Linked DNA regions of Sus scrofa. The protein of the gene in region 1 purifies or fractionates together with the protein of each later gene. This does not show direct contact. Links are inferred from orthologs where the notes say so. Each region holds a gene or a part of one and is shown in the gene's direction. Other genes may lie near its edges.

Region 1 (3,821 bases):
GAGTTTGTTTCTCTCTCTTTTTTAAAGCTTGTGTCTGCAGTTGTTGAATATGGTGGTAAACGGGTCAGAGGAAGCGACCTCTTCAGCCCCAAAGATGCTGTGGCTATTACCAAACAGTTCCTCAAAGGATTGAAGGTATGACATCTCTATGCTTTCCTAAAGGAAAGACAGTCGAAGCCCCTAAGGCTGAGAGTGAATGAATATGATCTTCAGAGTAACTTCAGGATCGCTGCTGGTTTAGTACTATGTCAATTAAATGAAATTAAAGCGGACATCCTCTGGAAAGTTTTTTCTTTAAATACTTCCTGTATTAGAGCAGCATCAGCATCAGCCCACATATCTGAGAAGGGAATTACGAGATATTTCCAGAAAATAATCAAGAGTAAAATGGCAGACAGTTCTGTTAGTTGTAGCTATTTTACTCCATTTGTTTACAATTTAAAATTTGTAAGGTGGTTTTTCTTTGAAGGAAATTAAAGATGAAGCAAACAATTGTAGATCTTTTTAAAACACTCACCTGTTGTCTTAAAATGGTCAAAAATTAGTTTTAATCTGCTAGCCTTTCTTACATTTCCTAAAAATTTTCCATTTTCCTGAGTGTTTTTAGTCTCCTTTTCTGTGTGCTCCTTCCTTTTATTTGCTCTACCTATCATACAGTATTTTCACAAAAGGATGAGAGCCAGTGAAGATATGATAAAGGATTTAAGCAATTCCTTTTTTTTTTTTTTTTTTTGTCTTTTTGCTATTTCTTGGGCCGCTCCCATGGCATATGGAGGTTCCCAGGCTAGGGGTCGAATCGGAGCTGTAGCCACTGGCCTACGCCAGAGCCACAGCAACACGGGATCCAAGCTGTGTCTGCAACCTACACCACAGCTCACGGCAACGCCGGATCCTTTAACCCACTGAGCAAGAGCAGGGACCGAACCTGCAACCTCATGGTTCCTAGTCAGATTCGTTAACCACTGCGCCACGACGGGAACTCCGAGCAATTCCATTTTTAAAATTCTTTTATAACAGCTAGCCTTAAAATACAGAGTATTTTAATGAGATTGGTGCATTTCTAATTGATGAAAATAATTAATTCTAAAATTCTCCTAAAATTCCTGCTTGACTCTATCCCATGAAGTCTCTGTTGAGTGCATGTCCTTTTCTGATATGAGTATCATTAACTATTACATGTCAAGTTTCCAAAAAATGACATAAGAACCATTTCCCTCTGTCTTAGGGAGTAGAAAATGTATATACTCAGCATCAACCTTTCTTACATGAGACCTTGGACCATCTCATCAAAGGAAAGCTTAAGGAAAACCTATATCCTTATCTAGGCCCCAGCACACTCAGAGACAGGTAAGATAACAAAGATATTAATAATAAAAACCAGAAAAACTAAGAAAATGGGAAACTTAGGGTAATATAAGGGACTACAACTAAGGTTATATCATTCTATTTGTCCTTCCACGGTTGTTTCAGTTCTAAGATTCTTTCGGTGTTTCATGTGTCAGAGTTAGATTTAAATTTACCTGTTAACCTTGAAGCATCATTTCTTTTGGAATAAAGAAACCGTTGTTTTGAAGCTCCCCTACCCCCCCCCCCAACTTGTGTTCTGTCCTTTAATATCAGACCAGTTTCCTTATGCCATTTAAGGTTCAGTTCCATGGAATCTAGCATTTGGACTTTCAAACATTAAGGCCAAAAATAGATTTGCTGCTTGATTGCCATCCAGAGCAGGTTGTTACTATTTTTGGTGAGGACTGGACTTTGCGAAATGTGGCCAGCATAAAAACTGAGACCTAATTAACAAAGGCCATTCGTTACATGGGAGAAAAGGATGGCTTTCTTTTTAAGTATAAACTAAAGAAAACAATTAATTGTCACTATAGTCCAGTGGTTTGTTAGTGTTAATAAAAACAAAATTTGTCCAGAGCAATTGTGTAGGCCAGGCTTACTGTTTTGTTTTTTGGTTTTTTTGGCCTCACCTGCAGCATATGAACATTTTATATACACACAAATTCTACCCAGTTATAAATTATATTCTTGTGTATTTTTTATTGGGACACATTATAAAGAGCCTAATATATATGGCTGAATCCTGTTGGATAGATTGATATGAGCATTGTTATGGGTAGTGAAATTCTTCTATTTTTTTCAGCTAATCATAATCTAAGAGCCTTGGAAGACTAGTGTTATATAAATATAAGGAATTTTCTGAGAAAAATGTTTTTTGAGGTACATAAATAACTCTTTTACAATAAAAATATTTTTTTCACTTTTTTCCTTTTTTAAAAAAAACCTGGAAATTTGGTAACAGAACAGAAAAAAATATTTTTAAAAACCCAAGATTGAGAGGTATCCAAGCTGCATCTGCGACCTACACCACAGCTCACAGCAATGCCGGACCCTTAACCCACTGAGCAAGGCCAGAGATCAAACCCGCATCCTCATGGATACTAGTTGGGCCCATTATCACTGAGCTACAATGGGAACTCCTCTTATGAACTTCATATAAGAATTATTGAACAAGAAATTAGCCACTTATTGCTAAAGGGGCATAATAGAAGAGTATATTGTGGATGATTAGTTCATGACAGGAAACCTTTCTAATTTGGGTAATTCATTTCTAAACAAAGCTCAAAATGATGCTTTTCCAGCAAAATGAACATTCATCAGTTTTGGCATCTGTTAGCTTTGGGCACTATTATCTAAATATACATATAGTTAATAATTCAGTTGCTTCATCCTACTATATAAAAAAATTTTATTGAGTGCCTTTAATATGTCAAGAACTGCTGTAAATCCTGGGGAAACAGAAATGACAGGAAAGACAGGTACCTGCCCTTGAGGGACTTACATGAAGGAGACAGACAGTAAGCTAGTAGACAAATAAAGAATATAATTTGAATGAGGTAAGTGCTACTGAGGAAATAAGTAGAGTAATAAGCTATGAAGTAACTTTGTAGAGGTAGGGAGGGGTACTTTAGGTAGAGAGAACCTCTCTAAAGAAGTGATATTTAAGATGAGATTTGAATTACAAGAAAGAACCAATCACATAATGATTAGAGGAAAAGCATCACAAGAAGAGGGAACACCAGAACAGAGTTCTCGAAGAAAGAGAACTTGGCAAGTTCTTGGAACAGAAAGAAGTCCAGTATGGCTGGAGTATGGAGAGTAAGGAGGAAATAAGAAGTTGAGAAGATAAGTAGGTCTGGATCCCATAGAGTCTTATAGGCCCTGGTAAAGAGGTTTTTAAAAGTTTTTAAATATCATAGGAAGCCATTAAAGAGCTTTAAGCATGTAAATGACATGAACTGAATTATGTATTAAAAGTCGCTTTGTTGGGAGAATGGATTATTGAAGGCAAAATTAGAAGCAGAAAGTCTACCTAGCAGGTGACTGCAGTAGTCCAGGTAAGAATGAAAGTGGTTTGGATAAGGAGGCTGGGAGAGAAGGCAGAATCAATAGACTTATTTAATGAAGTATATTGAAGAAGAGAGAAGGTAAGAGAGAAGTCAAGAATAACTCTCAGGTTTGTGGGGGAGATCAAGAGTTCTGTTGTTAAGTTACAGATGCCTATTAGATAAGCAAGTGGAAATGTTAGATACCAAATTGGGAGTCAATAAGATTTTGGTGATTTAAAGCTATGGGAATTTTAAATCTCTAGGGAGAGAGCATAGAAAGAGAAAAGGAGAGCCCAGGACCAAGCACTGAATAGAGGATGTGGAGTCAGCAATGGAGATTGAGAAAGAGATAGCAAAGATAAGAAGAAAACCAGAAAAGCATGGTGTCCTAAGGACCAGGGAGCTAGTGGTACCCTGAGACCAATC
Region 2 (3,821 bases), on another chromosome or scaffold:
TTAAAGAGAGTCAGTGCTCTGAGAACTCAGATCCCACATTAAGCTGCTGCCCACTGCAACCAAAAAAAAAAAAAAAGAAAGAAAGAAAAGAAAAAAGAAAGATTGACAATGCTAAATTTTCAGGGTGTACTTTTAGAATGGATAAACAACAAGGTCTTACTCTGTAGTGGAGGGAATAGACCTGGGATAGACCATGGAAAAGGATATAAAAAGAGTTTAATTTCCTGCTGTGGCGCAACAGGATTGGTGGCATCTCTGGAGTGCTTGAATGTAGGTTCGATCCCTATCCTGGCACAGTGGTGTTGCTACAGCTGTGGTGTAGGTGACACCTGCAGTTCAGATCTGATCCCTAGCTCAGGAACTCCATATGTCACAGGGTGGCCAAAAAAGGAAAAAAAAGAATGTATATGTGTGTGTGTGTTGTGTGTGTGTGTCACTTTGCTGTATACCAGAAATTGGCACAACATTGTAAATCAACTGTAATTTTTTTTTTTTTTTTTTGTCTTTTTGCTATTTCTTGGGCCGCTCTCGCGGCATATGGAGGTTCCCAGGCTAGGGGTCGAATCGGAGCTGTAGCCACCGGCCTATGCCAGAGCCACAGCAATGCAGGATCCGAGCCGCGTCTGCAACCTACACCACAGCTCATGGCAACGCCGGATCCTTAACCCACTGAGCAAGGGCAGGGATCGAACCTGCAACCTCATGGTTCCTAGTCGGATTCGTTAACCACTGCGCCATGAAGCCATGATGGGAACTCCTATACTGGATCTCGCGTTGCTGTGCCTCTGGTGTAGGCCAGCAGCCTGGGAACCTCCATATTCCACGGGAGTGGCCCTAGAAAAAGCAAAAAAAAAAAAAAAAAGAAAATAGTAATTATCAGTGTGATTTTCCTATTAACTTGCCTATATCAACAACTGAAAGAAGTAACAAATTGCAAAAGGTCAAGTGAATGGCACATTTTATTTTATTTTGTTGTCTTTTTAGGGCCACACTCGAGGCATACTACATACCACCTACACCATAGCTCATGGCAACACTGAATCCTTAACCCACTAAGTGAGGCCGGGGGTTGTTAACCACTGAGCCACGACCAGAACTCCCGAATGGCACATTTTAAAAGTTAATGTTGGTTGGGAGTTCTGTTGTGGCTCAGCGGTAACAAACCTAACTAGTATCCATGAGGATTCAGGTTTGATCCCTGGACTCGCTCAGTGGGTTAAGAATCCAGCATTGCCCTGAGCTATGGTGTAGGTCGTGGACATGGCTCGGATTCTGAGTTGCTATGGCTGTGGTGTAGGCTGTTGGCTACAACTGTTATTTAGCCCCTAGCCTGGAAACTTCCATATGATGTGGGTGTGGCCCTAAGAAGTAATAAAATAAATCAATAAATAAATGTTAATGTTTATTGTCACCCCTAAGAATTCAAAATTTAAAAAAAAAATGGGGGGTAGTTCCCATCATGGTGCAGCGGAAACTAATCCGACTAGGAACTATGCGGTTGCAGGTTCGATCCCTGGCCTTGCTCAGTGGGTTAAGGATCTGACGTTGCTGTGAGCTATTGTGTAGGTCGCAGACGTGGCTTGGATCTGATGTTGCTGTGGCTGTGGTGTAAGCCAGCAGCTACAGCTCCGATTCGACCTCTAGCCTGGGAACTTTCATATGTCTTGGGTGTGGCCCTTAAAAGCAAAAAAAAAAAATTTTTTTTTTGGCCTCACTTGCGACATCTGGAAGTTCCCAGGCCAGTGACTAAACCTTTGGCAAAGCAGTGACAGTGCTGGATCCTTTAAGCCGTAGGCCACCAGAGAACTCCCTAAAATTAAAATTTAATTAGATGTTAGAGTATTAAGTTAGGGAAGAAAAGAAGTGTAGGTGGTTAAGAGTATAGCATATAAAAAACTCTAAATATGGTCGAGTGAATAGGCCATCACTGGGCAGAAGAAGTGAACTAAGTGCTGGAATGGGGAGGGCTGGGACCGGTTTTCCAGAGAGGAGACATTGAGCAGGAGTTATTTCAGACATGCCAACACAGCAAGCTACTTCCTTCCATTTGGGAGATTCGTCCTGGGTCTTGGCTGCTGGACTCAGGAAGTTACCAGTTTAACTAGCTCCCACAAGGCATCTATTCACATTTACATTGGAGGGCTATTTTGAGAAGGATTGTTCTTATTCTTATGAAAAATCATATTGTACCAACTTTGGAAGTATAGACAAGCATGGGAGTTTTTTTAAATTGCCCATAATGTTACTGCCCCTTTTTACTGAATAAAAATTCATGTGCCAGGCAGCATTCTAAGGATTTGATAAATTTTAAGTTACTTAATCCTGATTAACAATCCTGTTGGGGGAGTTCCCATCGTGGCTCAGTAGTTAATGAACTCGACCAGTATCCATGAGGACGTGGGTTTGATCCCTGGCCTCAGTGGCTTAAGGACCCTGCATTGCTGTGAACTGTGGTGTAAGTCAAAGATGCGGCTTGGATCTGGCATTGCTGTGGCCGTTGTGTAGGCCAGCGGCTATAGCTCTGGTTTGACCCCTGGCCTGGGGACTTCCATATGCCACAGGTACGGCCCTAAAAAAAGAAAAAAGAAATCCTGTTAGGTAGGTACTACTGTTTTACCTATTTTATATTCCAAGTTACAGAGAGGTTAAGGAACTTGTCCAGGGTCACACGGTGTGTGGCAGGATTGAAACTGGAGCACAGGCTGGCTCCAGTGTCCAGGCCCTGTCCTCAAGTACTTTCCTTTCGCATTTTGTGGTCCCAAGGTGACTGTGGTTAACAGTTTAGCAAATTTCCTTCCATTTGCTTTTCTAGTTTTAAAATTTATAGTAATACTCTGAAATCCTAGATTTTTTCCTTGCTTTTGAAATTCAAAGTAGAGAGGCTCCCCAGAGAAACAAGTCTTTTGTCTCCTACCTTCTCTTCTTTTAGGTGCAATGCGAAGCCATCTTTCCGACTTCAAAAAACACCGAGCTGCCAGAATTGACCATTATGTTGTCGAAGTCAATAAATTAATAATCAGGTTGGAGAAGGTAAATTTTGTTGTTTTAAGACACCTTTTCCTGCAAATTTTAGTTTTCTGGGGAGGGGGATATTTCATTTTCCCCATGTTATATACACTGTATATAACGGATGCTGGCAGGGAAACACCCCTTAAGTGGTGCTGAGGACATGGTGGAAGGTTCTAGCCTGGGCTGGTTTTACTGAAGGGGATGGCTCAAGTCAGCCACTGGCCACATACCTAGCTTTTCTCTTCCTTCCTCTGAAGCCCACTTGGCTACTGGACAGCCTTTCTGCCTTCAGATCCTTCCTTGTTGGAGTGTCCTGGCACAGTCATGCAGTGACATAGTGTGTGGTATCAAACAGCCTGCTAACCAGGCATGTGAGGGGTGTCCTGCCAGGGCCGGCATGCAGTGTGGGAACCCCTTGTCCTGTGGGATGAGAGTGCGTTTTCCATACCATGATCGCTTTATTTTACTTTGACCCTAGAAATGCTTGCTGTGTATAAGCTGGGTTGTGTGGTGGGCATGGTGGCAGCCACAGGTTCAGTTCCTCATGTGTACTTCGTAGGATTGTCTAGGAGGGTGGCGGGGGATCTGGGTGTCCTGGTGCTCTCATTAGCCACCACACCGCATCCTTGCCCACTGCTGGTTATTGCTTAAACAGGTAAGGACAGTAAAGAGATTGGAAATGGGTCCTGTGAAGGGAGGTACCTCTGTCCTCGATGAAATTACTTTTGTGACTTTGTGGGCCTGGGGACAACCAATAAGACTGAGCAATGCTGATGTGCTCATTCCCACTTGATGCCTCTGCCTGTGGAAAG

The links.
Region 2: the proteins of VPS45 (region 1) and RBSN purify together in Homo sapiens (affinity purification with mass spectrometry; 4 studies listed by BioGRID and IntAct, counting the BioPlex papers as one, with this or other methods). This does not show direct contact. The link is inferred for Sus scrofa from reciprocal best matches to the Homo sapiens genes VPS45 and RBSN.

The regions. Positions count from the first base shown.
Region 1 is NC_010446.5:98,979,406-98,983,226, reverse strand, and holds part of VPS45 (vacuolar protein sorting-associated protein 45), read left to right. Parts: intron 1-27; coding exon 28-135; intron 136-1,225; coding exon 1,226-1,347; intron 1,348-3,821. UniProt on the Homo sapiens protein: May play a role in vesicle-mediated protein trafficking from the Golgi stack through the trans-Golgi network.
Region 2 is NC_010455.5:69,413,960-69,417,780, forward strand, and holds part of RBSN (rabenosyn-5), read left to right. Parts: intron 1-2,929; coding exon 2,930-3,030; intron 3,031-3,821. UniProt on the Homo sapiens protein: Rab4/Rab5 effector protein acting in early endocytic membrane fusion and membrane trafficking of recycling endosomes. Required for endosome fusion either homotypically or with clathrin coated vesicles.